Linked DNA regions of Arabidopsis thaliana. The protein of the gene in region 2 purifies or fractionates together with the protein of the main gene of each other region. This does not show direct contact. Each region holds a gene or a part of one and is shown on either strand. Other genes may lie near its edges.

What was found.
Region 1: the proteins of AT2G42370 (region 2) and THO7 fractionate together in Arabidopsis thaliana (co-fractionation; one large-scale study listed by BioGRID). This does not show direct contact.

The regions. Positions count from the first base shown.
Region 1 is NC_003076.8:5,518,974-5,528,853, forward strand, and holds THO7 (Tho complex subunit 7/Mft1p), read right to left. Parts: upstream 5,039-9,880; 5' UTR 4,862-5,038; exon of another isoform or gene 4,534-4,861; 5' UTR 4,503-4,533; coding exon 3,906-4,502; intron 3,774-3,905; coding exon 3,669-3,773; 3' UTR 3,444-3,668; downstream 1-3,443. Other genes in the region: DOT2 (SART-1 family), read right to left, coding at 221-830, 923-982, 1,070-1,136, 1,223-1,319, 1,411-1,524, 1,681-1,723, 1,825-1,963, 2,043-2,593; AT5G16800 (Acyl-CoA N-acyltransferases (NAT) superfamily protein), read right to left, coding at 5,536-5,762, 5,863-6,066, 6,184-6,283, 6,926-7,070, 7,177-7,322; AT5G16810 (Protein kinase superfamily protein), read right to left, coding at 7,887-7,967, 8,191-8,272, 8,459-8,505, 8,607-8,688, 8,774-8,896, 9,070-9,141, 9,257-9,495, 9,606-9,671 and 1 more.
Region 2 is NC_003071.7:17,637,696-17,648,138, reverse strand, and holds AT2G42370 (uncharacterized protein), read right to left. Parts: upstream 4,806-10,443; coding exon 3,638-4,805; exon of another isoform or gene 3,586-3,637; coding exon 2,606-3,585; downstream 1-2,605. Other genes in the region: BZIP34 (Basic-leucine zipper (bZIP) transcription factor family protein), read left to right, coding at 1-53, 234-324, 439-565, 762-934; AT2G42360 (RING/U-box superfamily protein), read right to left, coding at 6,522-7,232; AT2G42350 (RING/U-box superfamily protein), read right to left, coding at 8,241-8,894.

The DNA.
Region 1 (9,880 bases), on a different chromosome or scaffold from region 2:
AAAGTAATTAGCAGGTAATAAGATTGATTAAACTAGCTACAAACTATTTGCAGACAAGTTAGCCCCAAGCATGTGTGTGAGAGAGAATGTCCATATATGTCATATCATATGACACCAAATAAATGTTCCAAATAACGTAGGAAGTGCTATAGCAGATCAATATAATAGAGCAAAACATAAATAACAGTGTAACTGTGTCAGAAGATGATTTAAACTTTACCGTTCTCGCGCTGGAGACCCCAGACAAAGTCTCCCATCTCTGTAAAAACCACTGTATTTTCTTGTGTCTCATCCCCGGTGGTGGTATTATCATCTGTTGTTTGATTGGTGCTGGAAGCCACAAGATGCGCAACTGCCTGTGGACCAGATCCAGCTTCCTCTTTCTTAATGAGAGCTAGCCTCCTAGCTTTCTCTAACGATTTGTAAAGATCTTCAGCATCATCAGCCAACACCATACTCTCATCTTCATCTCTTTTAAAAGGCTGAACTTGTTCCCTTCTAAGTAGCCTGGATGCCTCATCAGCTTTAGCAATGGCTTCCTGATAGGCATTGCTCCGTTTTTCATACTCGATCCTTTCTTTCTCTTCTTTCATGGCCTGCCTTCTGCCATCTTTACGAGAACCAAGATCTTCAGCTCCCAATCCCGATGCAACAGCTTCTGCTTCAAGCATACTTAAGTCCAATTTATCCTTTTTACGCAATTGTTTCTTTTTCTTGGGTTTTTTGAATTTTAGCATTTCTTCCTGTGAGAAGTAATCTGAAGAGACCTTTGCTGAGGAGTTAAGGTCTTCAAAAGTATGTGTCGTCTGACCCTGAATTCTCTTACGCAGCTGATCGGTAGAACATGAAAGAAAATAATTCCGTTAGTGTGTATACTTACTACGATCCATTTAATATGACAGAATGTTAGGAAGAATAGTACCTCCTCTAGCTTCTTCTCAGCTTCACCGGTGAAGCGACCCTTTGCATCCAAAAAGATCCCCTAAAGCAAAAGCAATAACATTAATTCCCTCCAAAGAAGTGCCTATAATTATGGTATTTGAAAAATCCGCTAGACAGAGTAACTTACCTCATCAGTAGCAGCCTCATCGTACTGAGGAAGCATCTTCTTTTCTGCCCCGGGATCATCATTAAACCTATAAAATAAATATAATGCCATGTTTCAGTCTTAAGCAACACAGATATGCTCATCTAAATGCCTTTGAACAATACTTAAACTTACTTATCATCGTATATTCCCTTTTTCTTCTTGGCTGCTTCATAAGCTTCATTCCGGCGCTTCTGTTCTCCAATTTCCACATTTTCTAGCATGTCAATCTCTGCAAGAATAGTTGAAAATCTCATTATGACAGAGCCTAACATCAACAATGCTGATAGCATAAATAAAAGATAGCACAAAAAGATACTAACCATTGTTAACGTCTCCATCGGTAAGGACACTTTGGTCTTTTAGTGTCAAGATAACTGCTCCACCTTCCACCACTTTCTCCAAACCATGTAGAACTTTAACACCAGATAGATGCTCTGTTAACCAGAATATGTCAAGATAAATTATCAATCAGAGAGCATCACATTTAGAAAGGAAGATAGAAAAAGAAATTCTATGGTATGACAGAATACATGATTACTTCCTTTGAAGAGTTAAAGTTAGGGGTAAAAGAACTAGAAACGAAAACATACCGCCATCCTCGCCATCTTCATTTTCACCTTGATTAAGATTGTCCTGAACAAATATGAGATAAGATATATTTATTAAAATGTCAGATAAAAGGAAGTTATGAAGAAATAAAAGGATATAAGATGTTCAAGGAATGGAGGTAATACCTGCTCCTCAAAAATTCTCGAGAGCTGCTGTGCTCTTTGCTTCTCAGCATTTCGTTTTTCCTCAATCTTACGGCTCCTTGCAACCCATGATAGAGCATCAGAAGCATCTTCAGCTTTCTTCTTTCTTTCCTCTCTCATCCTAAGGAAGAAAACACAAACTTTTAATTCCTGTACTACCTATAATTCTAGATTTCATATAACATATGAGAATCACTTACTTCAAAATGCGATTCTGAAGGTCCAACGCAGATGCTTCTTTCCCACTTGATGCAGCATCAACATTATCGCCACCTTCATTCAGACCTCTGTTGTCAGAATGTTCATATCTTTCTGCAGCTTTATGAGTCTCGTCATCATCTTCATGACTTTTCTTACTCGCTCTCTCCTTGACTCTTGCCCTATCCTTGTCTTTTTCCTTCTCGTTATCCCTCTCATTTTCTCTATCTTTATGTCTATTTCTTTCCTTTTCCTTGTCCTTTTCTTTAACCCGATCTCTACTCTTATCTTTCTCCCTCTCTTTATCTCTACCTCTAGAGATCTCCTTCTCAGTGTCCTCATCTCTACTTCTTTTTCGGTCTCTCTCTTTCTCCTTATCCCTGCGGTGGTCCTTATCCCTGATCTTTTCTCGATCATAGTCCTTTTCTTTATCCTTGCTCCTATGATCCTTCTCTTTCCTCCTTCCATCTCTGTGTTCTCTAACAGGCGAACCCTCGTAGTCAGCCCTCTCTTCCCTGATTTCATGCCTTGATTTAGACTTCTCCACTTCCATTTTCAAGAACTTTAGTCAAGACCTAACCACAGAAAAAGGAGTTACTCAGTAACAACAATTACAATGGTAGCAAAACTACAGCCGAGCAAGATGAGAATAACAAAACTATTATATTGGCATTACTCTGACAAAGTACTTGCACACTTGATGACAATTTTCGGTTTCAAAACTAGTGACAAAACACAAAAACACAAAAACCCTAACCTAAGAAGGATTTCATTATTATTGGGGAAATAAGGTAAAATCAAATCCTGAATCTAGCTAGCTATAAACATATTCAGACTTTGGAGGATAAACGGAAAACGGAACAAGGTCAAGCGATTCGAAATTCATCGGAAAAAAGAAGAAGCAAACATCTGAAACGAAATATCAAAGAAAACAAAGGTTGATCAAATTCCGATTCGAATTACCTCTAGATCAAACCTTCAATGGAAAGTACTGAATATTCGGATCGACGAACAAAGAGCTCAGAATTGCAGGAGAAATTTCCGAGGGTTTAGAGATAAATTGCGAAAGCACACCGACGAATAGTAAGGTTTAGAAGATAAAGACCTAGCAACTGCGAAGAATTTAGAAAAGAATGCTTCAAACGAGAGAGATGACGACAAACAGCAAACCGCGGACGATCGCAAACTCGCCGTGGAAAGAGACGGAGAGACTCTCTGGTGGCGAAGAGAGGAGAACGATTTTGCAAAATAGAGAAGATATACGTGTACTGTATATATATTAGTCCGGTTTAAAAGCAAATTCTTTGGTACGGGAATAAATCTTAGTCGGTTGAATTTTCTGGACCGGTTATTTTCCTGATGAATCATTACCAAACTTGGTTTAGTCAAATAAATCACTTTCTCCTGACCTTTCCGGTTCACATAGTCCTCAAAACCTCGAGAAGATCTGCCATTATTTTTTTTGAATCTGCGAGTTAAAATGAAACATACATATCCTTATTTTCATAGCAATTTTGGTTATGAGGCAACCAGAAGAAACCAGAAATTTATAAAACAGATTCTTCTTATCAATGAAAGGTTTGTTTCTTTAGCATTCAAGAGGAAGACAAAGTTGCTAAGATTAGGAGCTAATCGATGGACATGGCTTCAGCGCCATCAGCGGTAATGTTCCTCTGCATTTCTTCCACCATACTCTTCTGTTCATCCTCCATTGTCTCCTGCAACTCATCCACCTATACATAAAAGTTTTCACAAAACCAAAAAGGTTAGGATTTAGCTGTAAACATAAAGAAACACGAGAAAGGCGAAATCTTGTTTAGAATCTTAGCTATAAAAACACAACGAAACCCGTAAAATCGACATACCACATGCAACAACAATGCAAACTGCTTCTTCCTTAGTTCAAGAAGTCTCCAACTTGCTGTATTCTCAGCCTCGAGTTCTGCAATCTCCTTCTTCAATTCATGTATAACCTTCTGCGTCTCTGACCTCGGTGGCTGCGCAGAGATAAGTTTCCTAATGGCTTCACACTCCTCTTTCTGTTGTCTCTCTATCTTACTCTCCTCAAGCTGTTTCTTAAGATCTTCTATATCAGCTTGTGCCTGCATTATCTGCCTATTCGTCTCATCTTTAAGCTCGTTAAAGTTCTCTTTCTCCCTAAGATTTGCAGCGACAACTACTTGGCTCTTAAGAAGCGGAATCTCAAACGCAGAGAGTTCTTGCAAGAAAGCTTTCGCGAGCCTACCACACTCACTGTAGTTATCTTCTTCTTTGTCTAGTTCAATAACAAAAGAAGTGAATTTCTTCTGAAGCTTCTTCAATGGAGGTTCGCCTCTGGTGGTGGTCGTGCGTGTGAGAAGCCTATTTCTTATAATTTTGTCATCATGTAACGGATCGAAAGCATAATTAGCTGCTACAGTCTCTGATCTACCCGAAACAATCCTCCTAGCTCTCACTGACATCTTAACTACTAGAGTCTAATATTATTCAAATCTGCAGAACAAACACAATTCATAATAAGCTAGGCTAGGCTTCGCATAATTCTGACAAAGCATTATCTTAAACCAAACAAATAAATCTATGTAAGCTAAAAACTGCTCAAAACAATGAGAACACACTAAGGTCCTTTTTGAATACTCATTCACGGGAATTCATAACATTCGAACTAGTAATTAAGCAAAAGTTTCATAGAATTCGATTTATTCTTCTCATCGTCAAAATCGTTATAGGACAACTTCTGTTTCTCAAATTTTCAGTGAACCGAAATTATAGTGAGATTGACCCAATAAATAATCGGCGAAAAAGAGAATATTTAACTTACTTGAACCGAACCGAACCCAATATCAATTCACCTCTTGTACGATTAAAAATCCGAAACAGAGAAATTATGATTCTCTGATGCACTGTGAACCCTAATTCTATGTTTCCGTTCCTTCTTCCCCTTTCCCTCGTTCTTCACAGTTTGCTCGTTAACTTTCATTTATTATATACCTAATCCCTATTGTTTTTTAAATTACAATTTAAGCATTCACAGTGGTGAACTGAAATTTGTTACTAACCCAGAAAATTGGTCTGGTTTGTTTTTTTTTTTTTAAATCTGTTTAAACATCTCTAGTTAATTCCATGTCATGTGAATTAGCCCCAATTAGAGCCAAAAGCTGTTCATGATCAGAATTGAAGAAGGATCTGGTTTCTCGAAAAAAGTATTGGGGTTTGTTTTTGTAATTTTAAGTAAATTATATGAGCTTATGCTAGTTTTCACGCCATAAAGCACAAAGCTAATTTTTTCAACAAGCTAACTAATTTAAGACAATAAGACTAACAGTGGATTGAACCCTCCGTCCCAAAGAGTTGTCTTCAACTATCACATCACAATATTTACATTTTTATCACATTATTATTCTACACGAACACACACAATAGGATCACAACCAGAGCTTAATGGAAGACATTAAAATGAATGATTTTACAAAGTCTATGAATGGGAGACGGACACTATACGTAATCATACCCGGATGATACTCTTTCCGATGCAAGGTTTCGTTTAGTCTGAGTGGGCAAGAGACACCGCGTGTTGTCTTTGCTTTTAAGCCATTTCGAGCCTTTCTCATCGTGGTTCACCGTCAGCTTTGATGCGAAAGATTTGATTCCGCTCCTCATATAATTCAGAACCAACACCGCAAGATCTCTGCAATGCAGCCATGATTCAGCGATAACCCCATCTATGAAGAAACCGCAAAGAAACATCACAGCAAACAGAATTTAGAATGCAAAAAATACTTGTGTTTTGTACATACAAGGGTGAGCAAGGAGAGCGAGAACCGTTGATAAAGTAGACGAACAAGTAAGAATCGAAATGCTGGCCGTTGATTAAGTAGAATCCGTGTAACCTCCTTACACATCTGAAAGACATTCTTTTGTACAACCGGATTGCGGGATTGTTGTGTGCAATCACGTGAAGGTAAACACCACGGCACACAGGGATACCAGAAGAGTATTTGACGACCTCGTTAATAAGTGCCTTAGCTGCACAAAAAAGTTGCAGAACTTAATATTAACAAAACCAAGCAATAGAAGAGAAGCATCAAGCCATCAACAAAATATCCATATCATTGGTTTACTACATGGGGTCAGAATCAATACCGATTCCACGTTTTCTGTATGTTTCTACAACTCCAAGTGTTAGGATGTACACCAATGTCCCCTCTCCCTTCGACGAGTCATATCTTATTAGATCTGATATCTGTACAAGACATAGAAAATCTATCAACATATTACCCAAGAAACAGCCATTGATGACTCTTAACATTAAACGAACAAGTACAAAACAAGTTTGGATCATAATCAAGATGTTAATAAAGTGGCTGGCTCTTTTTGATTTTCTAGAACTTTCGTAAGAAACCCATCTAATGTACATGGCTTTAAAATTCACGCTTAAACCATTAGACATTGTGAAATGGTTCAACAACATTCAAAATCTACACTTCACAATTACTTGTTACTTGCTGTATAAAGTTATTTCGAAATTTCAGAACCAAAACCCAAAAGGCGAAGAACAAAGAGAAGACAATGTTTTACTACTGAAGAAGCTCCAACCAAAACTTAAAAGCTTAGAAAAAGCTGTTGAAATTGTAGAAAGTTTATATTTTTAAGAAATTTTTAAGAAAATGTTTCAAACATTCAAAATTTTCACTTTACAAGACATTGCATCTTCTTTACAAAACCCAAAAACCATTCAAAACAAGCTTCAAAAATAACTTGAAACGTTACAAATTGAAGCTTTATTTTCTCCAGTGGAAAGAAACCCATTTCGGACATTTGAAATCTACACTTGAACAAGACGATGAAAAAGGAAGACACTTGAACAAAACACAAAGCAACTCACTTCGCTTTCTTTGGCAAGTACGATTTTGGCAGTAACAAATCCAATAAGTTCCTCAGAATGACCATCAGGGCGACTCCGATCAACAGCAGCCCAAGAGACAATATCACCTCCGTTGACAACATTCTGAAAAAACTCAGACTCATACCTGAACAAAATCAAATGCTTTGATAAGACACTTCCAAAAAACGGAAAGTCAAATCCCAAAACCAGATCACATATAAATTCTTTCCAAAACAAAGGTATTTATTTACCTGATTGGGAATATGTCACGATGGATTTGCTCCAAACGTTCTAAATCAGAAGGGTTTATTGGTCTGAAGCAAATAGTTGGACGACGAGCGATTTTGGGTTCCTCCATTGATGAATTCTCCACAAATCCACGGGGAAAACGCGACATTGATCGAGATGATTAAGACTCAAACAACCTCAAATTCTCAATTTTTGATACTTTCATCTGAGAAAGAATCGAGTTCGAGATCAAAATCGGTCTCCGACCCGTTTGTCTGAATCGGAACCGGGTGGGTTAGGGTTTCCAGAATCAGAAGATGGGTTTGTTGATCTGCAAAGGTTTCTCGGAGAGTCAAGTGGGAATCGAAAGAAATGTGAAAACAAACGACTTTTGGAGAAGAAGAGGAAGGAAAAGTATTTGCTTGATTGCTTTGCCGTCTTCCCCACACATCGTTATGGCTTCAAGCGAAGCATCTTTGATTCTTCTTCGGATCATCTCACGTGCCTTGCGACTAACAAGCACGTGCGCATCTTCATCATTCTTTTACTTTTGACGACATTCTATTGTTTAGTTTAGTGACAACAAAACAATCTTAGTATAGCTAGTGCAGGATGAGCAGATTCAATATCATATTTTGGGAACCCACGATATATGATTATATGTTCAGAACATGGATCAAGGATTAATAGTTGTAGATAATTACGTAAATACATAATCTTCGTCTCTTCTCATTTAAACTACGCCATTCAAAAATCGATGACTAAGAACAGCTTCCGCCATTGGCCGCTTCCTATAGTCAGCGTTCAACATTGCCTACCAAAACACCACACGCAGAGACATTATTGGTCAAATTACCAAAACTTTCCAAACATGAAATCAGTTGACTCTATCATAAGCGTTCTCAGCATTTCTCCTCCATGCTTCTCGATATTTTCTTTTCATTACCGTTTCCATTTAACTTTGATCAGAGTTCAGTTATTTAACTTTTTTTTTTACTGTGAACCACGATGCAGAGAAAATTGGAATGACTAGATACCTGGAGCAATTCCCAACCAGCTCTATCACCAAGATCCAGAAACTTTACCGCTTCTTCGAGGCGTTCATCAGCTAAACAGTACCTGTATAAAAAATTAGTGAGGTCTTTCAAACACACAGTAACTTGGAGTATTAATCGGTTAATTGAATACAACGGTTCTTTTTGTGCTGCTAAAATGAAATGCAATTTATATGCGTTTTAAGTTTTAACACAAGAAAGTTATGACAATAGAGAATGTTAGTTAATCTGGAGGTAGCAAGAGGCTTACTCTCTTACAGCCTCGATATCCAGCCGGAAAGTGTTTTCCAGTAGCCTCTGCAGTTCAGCAGATTAAATTGCGGTTAAACAAAAAACTGTTTAAAGAACAGAGCTGCTACATTTGTTGGATTAAAAGGAGATCTTGTGTTCTTTCTTGCCTGAAGAGAAAGAGAATCCGTTACGCCTGCTTCACAGAATGGAACAAATGCTAAGTATGCAAAAAGAAGACCGGCTTCATATCTGTAAACCGCAAGAATGTGTTAAACCTTTATCAAAGAACATTTGCAACTTAAAAGATGAAAGACTAAGAAGGAAAAAGCACTACATGTCATCTGCAATCCCAAAAGCTCTTTTCTCAAAAACTGTGTAAGCACCAGCAGCATTTGCCCTTCGCCAAAGTTGCTCTGACAGTGAACCAGAAGTGGCTCCTTCTTCCAAGCATGAAGGCCTGTAAGGTATGCTCAGTCTATTAACAGAGAGTTGATAAAAAGCACCAACATTATCTTCACAATGCTAGTTCCAGTTATAAACAGCAAGACCAAAATGGCGAATTAAAAAAAAAAACTACTATAGCTGAGGATAAAATAATCAATCAGGAAGAGATGAGAAGAGTAAGGGAACCTTATGTCAACAGAAAAGGCTAGATCTCGCAGCCTCGGTATTAAATAGATGGCTTCTCGTTCCGCTGGTGTACTAAGGATAATTTCACCAGAGAGAAAAATCGACTGAATTAGTAGAGTCATGAGGCATTTATATTAAGAGTGAGGTGTGTATGCTATCACTTTCACGTGCTCATGGGGGAACATACTTGAGAACAATTGAGGATGGCCCGAGGCTTTGATGTAACCTGTCATTATCATGCATAAAGGCTAGACCCTTCATTGCACCCTGAAGGATCTTAATAACAAAGTTTCTCCTTCGTTTTATCATCTGCTCTTTTTCATAAGGATTCCATACTCCTTGGGAGCGAGCTCTGGTTGTTTTTTCACTCGCAGTTTGCGCGTAGTCAGCTGCACTATCTTTCCCACCATCACGAAAAGCCAGCCACTGTAAGAATGAATTGACTCAGCCTATGTTCCATAAGGTATGCCAAAATATCCACAAACTAGTGCAGCTTAGATTCAACAAACTACAGTGCCACATATTGTAAGCCTGACCTGTTCCCCAAGTTGTGTCTCAAAGCCACCAACAAGTAGAAGCAGATTAGCAGGCAGGCTTTTGCTCTGTATAGACAAGCAGAATAACAAGTTGATTTCACTATTAGCCACCAAGGAGATGTAATTGCTAAGAATCTATTTAGCATTTTTGCATGGCTATTTATCCAACCTGGAGAAAAGAGTGTGCATTAAGCTCGTTTGCTGCCATCATGTCAGCCTCAACTCCACCAGCACGCTGTCCGGGGTAGACCTTTACAGAGACAAGTATGTGAGGG
Region 2 (10,443 bases):
AATTCCGGTGATAGCTCCGGCAACCGGATTCTCGATCCCAAAAGGGTTAAGAGGTAACAAAATTATTCAAGAACATGCATGCACGTAAAAATATCAACTCATCAGATTTGATTACGATGCACCAAATATTTTGAAAAATATGATTACTGAAGATTAGCGTCACATCACTAACCATATAATGTTTTTTAAATTGTTAACAAAAATAAAATAAATATTTCTGAATGTTTCTACAGAATATTAGCAAATCGGCAATCAGCACAGAGATCAAGGGTGAGGAAACTGCAATACATATCAGAGCTCGAACGTAGCGTCACTTCGTTGCAGGTACATTATACAAACATTCATAAATCATAATCTTTTAATTATTCAAATAATTTCATGATTATAAATTTATTATGACCTTAAATCATTTTTGTGGCAAAAAAACTGAAATTAAAGGCGGAAGTGTCAGTGTTATCGCCAAGAGTTGCATTCTTGGATCATCAACGTTTGCTTCTTAACGTTGACAACAGCGCTCTCAAGCAACGAATCGCTGCTTTATCTCAAGACAAGCTTTTCAAAGACGGTATTAATCTCATGTAACTTTTGGATTTAATTCTCATGTAAATTTTTTGGATAATTATGGAATTAATATATGTGTGTTTATGAGATTTTTCATTTTCTCGTCGATGCATTCAATTATCACTGACAATATATGAGCACGCCCAATAATTTTCTCTCACTAGCTAATATAACATCAAAAAACTAATATTATTTTGCAGCACATCAAGAAGCATTGAAGAGAGAAATAGAGAGACTTCGACAAGTGTATAATCAACAAAGCCTCACGAATGTGGAAAATGCAAATCATTTATCGGCGACCGGAGCCGGTGCTACTCCGGCCGTCGACATCAAGTCGTCCGTTGAAACAGAGCAGCTCCTCAATGTCTCATAAATTAACCATCATGCATCATCATCAACATTTCTCTCTTTTAGCTTCTTGGCAAAAGTTCTTGACTATAAAATCTCTTTCGGGTAAGAAATTCAGGAGATATACATTTTTTATTCTAATCACATTGTTTTTAAGTTGTGATGAATTCAGTTTGATGTATCTTATTTATTTTGTTTATGTCGTCTTTTTTTCTTGGGGTTGATGGAAGGGAATCATCAATTGTTGTTTGTACAAAGAACTAGTTGAATTTTTTTTTTTTTTTTTTGGGAAGTGTACAGAGATTTGTGAACTAATTAAGATTTATTCGGAATACAGTAGTTTATTTTCCATCATTGTCTACTCTAAATCATATTTCTTCTCGCATAACATTATATTGATTTTAATAAGACAGATTAAACAAGAACTATGGTTAATTCACTAAAAAAATAGTCTCTATCTCTGATTATTTCTATTCTAAAGTGATCTAGAGTATCAACAAAAATAATTGTTTTGAACGGCTAAAAGTAATCTATAGCTATTAAACGCCTGTTTACACCCTTTTTCTGTCTCAACGGTTTTTAAAAATAGTAGTATCAACATAGGAAAATGTCATTTAACGACATTGAACTATTTTAGGTAATAAAACAACAATATGTTGACGTCATACAGAATCTAGATGGTAAAATCATATGGTACATCCACTCACGTAAGAAAAAGACAAATGAAGAAAGTATACAAAAATGTACTGTGGTCTAAAAATAAAGAAATAAGTAATAGCAGACCAAAACTCTGGGATTTTTAATAATCACTGATATTTGGTAACTTTTGTGATCGTTTATGTTTAGGAGTTACCATGAATAATAGCCGTTTAAGTATATTGTGGTCGATAAGAAAAAGCTTATGCAGTGAAAATGAAAGAAGAGAAAAGAGAAACGCGTGTGGACACATCTTGAAAGGCTTAAGCTTATTCACGTGATGTGTTCCTTGACTGGACCACTACGTTCTTCGTTACATGATTGGTTTTTTGTTTATTTCTCCTAAAAAAGAATTAATATTTATTTTCAAGATTTGGGGTTTTGAGTTTCTTTCAGCAAATGGTATGGTATAGAATTGGACCAATGGTAATAATGATATTTTAATTATTTATTTCATTTTTAAATTAAATTTGGTACCAAATGATGATACAAGGCGGCCACAGTTGAATTTGGTGAAAGAAGAAAAGTAGCAACAAAGAAGCCTTCCAAAGTTAATGGAAATTCACACTAAAGCCATTAGTGTTCTAGTCTGTAATTACTAATCGAATTTTGACCAAACCAGAGAGATGACTGAAATGTAGTTGATGAGAGTAGTGTTCATAAGACGCTTTGATCGCTATTGGCTACATTCGCTGGCTAATTGTCTACAAACCCAAAATAGATTTCAAAAATATCTACCAAAAAACTACAGAGCTACTAAAGATCCGACGTTACTTTATTTTGAGTTCTTGAATCTTCTTCTTGGACTCATGCCGGTTCTGCAAATGCCTACAAAAGAAGAAGCCAGTAAGTATTTGATGACTAGAATCTCAATAGGGACTTATTAAACAAGACTCATGCTCTCTTCTTCCAGTTCAATCGTCCATAGGTTATTTACATAATTGTGTGAGGACAACAATAAGTTAAGAAAGTTTTGAGTCTAAAAGAGAAAAGTACCTTCTCAAGTGTTTGATGTTGCATCAAATCTTGCAGATATAGATTCGCGTCTTGAAATTGTTTCTTTCAAGAGCTTCATCTTATTTTGAAACCCAATCAGCTTCCCGTCAAGCAACTCTACTTTTTTCTTAAGGTTCACTTCATACTCTTTAATCCAGAGACTTCCAACTTCTTTTACTTGTCTCTCTATTAGAACTCGTCTCATCCCCTCTTCTTTTTCTTCTTTCAATCTTAGCTTCTCGATTTCAGCAGTGCTCAATACTAAACCTCCAGTACCTTTAACATCTATGTATATCGGTTTATCAAGCAAAGGGCAAACTTTCCTGTGCTTTCTACATGCCTTCTGTGATTCTTTTAAAGCTTTCTGGTACCAGGCTAATACACTTGTCATCATACGAAGTTCATTTTCAAGCTTATAGATCTCTACGTTCTTCTTGTGTAGCTCTTCATAACTTTCTTTGTGCAATTGCTGAATTATGTCTTCCCTCCTTTGCAGTTCATTTTGCAACATTTGTTCCCTCATGTTCGATTCTCCACAAGCTTGGTCTTTCTCGACATATGATAACTTAGCCTTATCTGCCAAGTGCTTAATCTGCTCCATGCAAATGTCAAAAGGAACTGGCTTGTCATCCCAAGATGGTGTCTTCAACCTCTTAGTACTAGCAGGGTTATCAAAATGGTATGAAATATCATTCTCGTGACCAAACTCTCTCTTGTTATCATTCCCAAAATGAGAACGACCTGGAACCATATGCATGACAGCTCTAGGTGCCAGGAAATCACAAGTAGAACTGCCATGAACCTGTAGCCCAGAATTATAACCTAATGTAGATGTATCTCCCAACATCAGATTTTCCTGGTGTAGTGTTTTACCGTTCCGAAACAATAAAAACCCTCCTTCTTGCTTTTCTCCATCTTTCTCAATTTCATCTTCAAGTATCTCATTCTCTCCCACTTTCCTATGTCTTGTTCCGTTCTTTTCATCTCCTACAGTAGCACAACCAACATCACACCCCTGAAAAAAATGTGAGCCAACATGGCTGTCTCCATTCCATTTCATCTCCTTCTTCCTTGGCTTCCTTAAGATCCATTGGTTGTTCCTTGTTTTCCTCAAGATCAATTGCTTGTTCCTCATGATAAAGCTCCATCGTAGCAGCCATTTCGGACACAATCACTTGCCCAAGATTCAGTTTGGTCGTACTTTCCTCCACACAGTTTTCTTTCTTTGAGTCAGTGGCTCCATCATCCATTCCTAGATTCAAAGCAGCAATATCATCCTTTACCTTCAAATCCCTCTCCTTAAACAGATCTATTTTCTGTGATCTAATGACCATCTGCAAATGCGACGCATAGAAACAATCCCCGAGTGGAGGCTCCGCTTTCAACTCTTTCTCAACCATAAACCACATCAGTCCAGCCCAGTCCAGCTTATCCAATTGCTTTTTCTTTATACCTTTCATCCATTCCACCACTTCATCTGGCATCATCCACGCATCATCACAATGCAGTAGCATCCAATTAGAGATAACATCTTCAACAACACTGATTGATTCATCTGATTCCAGAAATTCCTTATCCTCATCAAGAATGACAACACGTTCTTTCTTATTAGGCAACTTCAAAGATCGAGCCAAATCCGCACGACTAAGTTTAATCCTAGACCCGTTTATATAGCTGCACTTACCTCCAGCACTATAGGAAGCTATAAGTTGAGCCACAAGATCATAATCCATATCCTGATCAAATTCCAAATGCACAAAATCCCACAATCCGAGAGTCTTTAAGAGACTCTCATAACAAGCAAAATCTAGGGTTTTTAATGGCTTGAAAGGTACAAGCTTTAATGTTTCAACAAGTACCTTGAGCTTCTTCTTAGACTTCTCTTCTTGCTGCTTACGTTTCTTATCGTTACATTTCTTCCGCTTTGGCCCACCACCGTGACAACTAAAAGAAAAGCTCATGGCTTTTGAATCCAGAATATCAATCTCGTCTTCCTCACTCAACTGTTTCTGATCACTACCGTTCTCCTGCGATTTCCTCATTTCGTCCGACACTGACTCTAAAATTCTGATTTTGTTCGGAACAGAATGTGTCTCTGAAGCTTCAGAGACTTCTTCCTCCAAAGTAGCTTGCTTAATCAGGTTTCTTAAAATAGTTACTGTATCTTGCTCTCGAGATGCAAAAGGATTCGCCGGAGGATCCATGACTGGGTTTTGTTTTCCGATCTCCTCCTCTTTCAGAAATTGAAAAGGTTAAGGAGCTAAAGAGTCTTTTTGTTTACTAATTAACCATAATTAATATGCTCCGTCATCAAAAACAGAGCAGCTAAAAACACTTCATTAGAGGCCCATATGTATATGGGCCGGAGTTTAATACGGCCCAAATCAGTATAACCGAGTTCAATAACCGGTAAGAATTAAAATATTTTACATTATTCACCCAAATCTTTACATTAATCACAACAAACTCCAACATCTATTCGACTCTTTCAAATTCACACTCTTCCTCCTCTTCGAAATCTCCGAGTACAAAATCGATCAATCTCTCGGAAAATGATCGTGTATTCTCTCTCTCAGCCTCACTGCTTCCTAATGAATCTCTCTATTTCTCCTCATTACGGTTGCTGCTACTGCGGAGTTTGGTGGGGAGGTATTAGAGACGGAGCTTTGGTGCGTGGCGAAGAACAACGTTGAGGATTCAACACTTTAAACGGCCATTGACTGGGCTTGTGGTCCCAGAGGAGCTGATTGCGTCTAGATTCAGCAAGGTGGATCCTGCTACGATCCATTGGATATAGTGAAGATGGCTTCGTATGTATTCAATAACTATTATCTGATGGAATGGTCTCGCAGATGAAGCTTGCAACTTTAGTAACAACGCAGCTGTTACTTCTCTCAATCCTAGTAAGTTCACATTTTCTTTCAGGATCAATGTCTAGCAGATAGTTATGACTTTTGCTAATTGAAAATGTTGAAAGTTTGATGCTTTTTCTGCAATTTTTCGTTTTCAGGTCAAGGAACATGCAAGTTTCCTTCAAGGTAATTAAGTAATCCACATTTGTATTGCCAATTAGCGTTTGTGTGTGTGTCTCATTTATAGTCTGTTTGGAGCAATTTTGATCCATCATAGGTTCTTTTAGAAAATGATTTCTAGTTTGATGGGTTTTGAACTTTTGAGTGAAATGAAATCTTTTTTTTGTTTTTTTCATTAGCTTCTGGCTTAGAAGGATGAAGTTACTTCACTTCTCCTCGACAATTGATTTTGATCTTGGTGATTATATTGTTCATATTATCAATATGATGCAGTTACTGCAGAACATAGAAGAAGTTTCAAAAACTATTAAAGCAATTTTTTTGAAAATGTTCTCATTCTCCATGAGGCTTCGTTTCATTGAGTATAGTAATAGTTACACTCATGCTGTTGAAATCTGGTGTGCAGTAAGGGAGTGAGCAATGGAAGTATCGCAGATGCCACTTCAATGCAGGGAGCAACTGCACCAGAATTCTCAGATTGAGCCGAGCAAGGCGGATGTTTAGCAGCTGGTTGTCACCCTTCGTCATTTTAGGCCACATTGTGACAATGACACTGATTATCCAACAGGTTTAGCTTCCGATTGGTGATTGAAGGTAACCCTTTTATGATCTCTCTTCTCCCTCAGTTTTATGTAACTAAAATGGTTCTGCATCTTTTATGGAGCCCTGATATGTACTGTCTACCACTGTGAATAGTTAACTTGAATGGCATGAACTGCACCAGATGTATCTTTTGACTAACATATATTTAGTGTTCCGTTACACAAAACTATCTAAAACCAAAAACAGAGCATGATATAGTAAAAAAGAAAGGAGGATATTGTATAAATTAAAGATTATCGATATGTGTATATGATTTATATGCATAATATGTATCTATATGTCGACTCAATGTCTCTCAAGATCTGCCACACGATCTTGGTCAGGACAAGAATGGTTGATCCTGTTCGAAGATCTTTCCCTCGTCAAGATTTTCCTAAACGAATTTAATCGCGAAGCCGGGGATACAACTGTTTTGTTATCTGAGGAAGAAGAGGATGCGGCTTCTACAGTCAAGTTCAGCCTGGTTTCCACCAACAACTGCGGTGCAGTACCGACTGGTCCTTCCCTTGGCTCAGGCTCAAGTCTCGGTCTTGGCTCAACTTCAGTCCGACAAACAGGACAAGTGGAGCAAGTGGTGAGCCACGTGTCAACACAGTCGACGTGGAAGATGTGCTTGCAGTTGGGCAACTCTCTCGCCTTGTCTTGCTCCTTTAACACGCTTAGACACACTGCGCATTCAGTAGCGGAGGCAGCCACGCCATCAGTGGCTCCAACAGTGAAAGTAGGGAGAGAAGCGATGACTGTGGGATTGAGGCCACGCTTAGGCATCTCAAAAGGGTGGCGGAAAATGACGGGGAGGCCACGGAAAGCTTCTCTACGGCGTCGGAGAACGAATCTTGCGTAAAGATGAAGAGCGAAGACGATGAGGATAACTCCAGATAAAGAAGCCACTGCGGCAAGCATGATCTTGCTGTTAAGATCGTAAGTAGACGGATTAGGCCAGAATGAGTGGTGGTCAGAGTTGAACCTGCGATGATCTCTGTCGTTGGAGCTCATTGTGAAGCTGGTTTTTCTTCGGTGGATGCAAAAGAAAAGTGAACAAAAGAGTTTACTAACTTATGATTTATTATATAAGGAATAAAGGACTTATAGAATTTCTTATTTTGATTGTTTTTCCAAGGCTTATACTTTAGTTGGTGGGTGGAGAAAAATGTGAAGTAGATAGAATTAGAAACTTTGGGAGATAGGTAGACTTTCACGAGGGTTTAGAAATTTCACCATTGTTGACTAAATGGTAGATTGTAGATTATTTATAGGTGATAGGTTTGAAGATTATAGACTGTATATATAAAGAGTGGAAAATATCAAAATCCTACGTAAAAAATTTGTGGACTGAATTTGCCTATTATGATTTCACGGTATTAGGAGTTAACTCGCATATATAGACTGAATTGTCTACCATCATTTCAGTGTATCAAGAGTTAGTTAGTCTCATATGCTGCAAATAGTATGGTGCAAATTGGTTTATCCAAGTAGATATATATAGATAAATTCATCTCTAAACATAGAATGTTAGAGTTACATATGATACTGCTATCAAAATTTTAAAATATGATAATACAATTTATTTTGTCAACAAAAAATGATAATATATATAGTCAAGAAAATACGAAAATTAAAGGTTAAAACGTGTGAGCCTGTGAGGATACGTGTGGGAACCACAAAGTTTGACTTGAAGAAGAGTCGTCTATGTAGGGCACACACGCATTAGATATACCTTAATAACAAAATTGTCTCGATTGTATGTTACAAGTTCAACTTTCTTTTTTTCTTTTCCCCTTTTCACACGTTAAGCAATAAGCAACAATGTTTTTGTAATTACTGTAACATACAAAAAGTGTGCCATTCATATTTACACATACAAAAGATTTCAGTACAAGAATAAAAAGTTAAAAGGAAGAAGAAGTATTATGGTTCATGAATTAAGGATTAATTATGGATGCATGTGTGTTTATACTTTTTTTTTTTTAACCGGCGTATGTGTGTATATACTATATACTGAATTCACTGTCTTTCAATATCCAATTCACGATCTTGGTCAACGCGAGAATGATCCCGCCTGTTCGAAGATCTTTCCCTTGTCAAAATCCTCCGGAACGAGTCTAACCTCGAAACCGATGATCCGCCGGTTTTGTTATCAACCCCCGCGAAATCTAACGGCGGTGCAAAGTCGCCAACTGGCCCTTCCCTAGGCTCAGGCTCAAGCCTTGGATGACTTGGCTCGGCTTCAGTTCGACAAACGGGACAAGTGGACTGCGTGGTGAGCCACGTGTCAACGCAAGACACGTGGAACACGTGTTTGCAGTTCGGTAACATCCTTGCATTATCTTTCTCCTCCAATAAGCTTAGACAAACCGCACATTCCGTACCCGCCACGTCATTCTTGATTCCAACCACGAACGTTGGGAGAGAAGCGATGACTAGAGAATCGAGGCCACGTTTTGGCGGCTGAGAAACGACAGAGAAGGAGAGGTCTTGGAAGGCTGATCTACGGTGGAGAACGAATTTTGCGTAGAGATAATAAACGAACACGATGATGATAATAATAGAGAAGGAAACGGTGGTGACGAGGAAAATCTTGCTGCTGGCATCGTAAGAAGTCGAGTTTTGCCAGAAAGAACGGTCGTCGGAATCATCAGTTTTGTTGTTAGAGCTCATGATGAAGCGTTTTGTTTTGGTAGAACAAGAGACAGAAAGTGGTTACTATAATCTAATAACAAGTTACTAATAGATTGAATGGATCTCATGTTGTGTAATTAAATTGTTTTTTATTATTTTTTCTACTTTTGTTTATTCTTCATAGCTATTACTTGGATTCAAGGGACATACAATATGATTGGTGGGTGTGAGAAAATAGGCAGCAGAATACTCATAAATTTTCGAAGGAAATTGTTGACTTTACTCGGATTTGTTATCATTTTCTTAATTTTAAATTAAACTTTGGAAATTCAAAAAATAATAATATAGGATTGCAATATTCTTTATACCGTAATACATAACATGTCGACAGTGTATATGAGAATTCTAGATATATGATGATACAATTTCTCCCAATAATATGACAGGACTTAATGTAAATGGAGCATAGTCAAGAAAATACGAAATTTTAAAGTTATAACGTGAGGTATGGAGCGAGGCTGCGTGTGAGAATCATATGGTTTGACTTGAAGAAGAGTATTCGAAGTAGACAAACATGCTAATCTATTACAAGTTGTGTGAATATATTAAAAATTCAACTCTCTTTTTAATTGTTTTTTTTTTTCCACACGTTAGCTCTTTTGTTTCCTTGTATATACTTGTAGGAAAAAAGTCATTGTATTTTGATGATATATCTTCAAAACATATTATATTTTATCTTTTTAAAATTATAATTAACAATGAAATAATGACTTTTTCTCATTTAAGATATTTGTACTTTTCATATCTCACTGGATTTGGGTCTCATTTTTTTTATGTACATAAAAAGAACTATGAAACCAAAAACCTTCCCGTAATCAGGTGTAGTTTGATTATCCTTTTTATGTTTTTTTTTTGTGGGTAAATTTTTTTATAGGTTTTGAGTATCTTATAAGGTATATATATGTATAAACAACTTAGTTTAATAAATATACTTATATATATATATATATATATTATAAGTTTCTTACCATTTTCTGAAGATAATTATAATAAACATTGTAATTCAAAGAATAAAATGTTGATGTTTGTTGGATCCCAATTATAATAAAATGATTAATAAGAAAATATAATATGTTATCATTTATTTTGGGATGTCAAAACTCATTTTTTTTGTTAGATTTTTATAAAGATTCTGTCATATAAATAATTACTTTAATTTTTAGTAGATTAGAAAGTAATATCTTTCGAATTGAAATTTTCAATGCATATAAATATAAACTAAAAATATTTGAGAATCGAAAATATTAGTTTTGATAAGTATATATAATGTTAAAAGTGTGTTTGGTTGTTGGTTTTATAATAATCAAGAATAAGGATAGTAGAACTAAAATGGTTTGAGAAGAAATATAATAGAATTAAATAAATCTATAAAAAAAAAAGAAAACCGAAATTAATTGTGGGGTTGCTAATTGGGTTGATGTGAATTAAAATGGGCTAAAAGGGACACCAAAGCAAGGCCCATATATTTTGTGGCGTAGAGAGGGAGGGAATTCGAAAACAGATGATAGCGGCAAACGCAGAGTAGCTT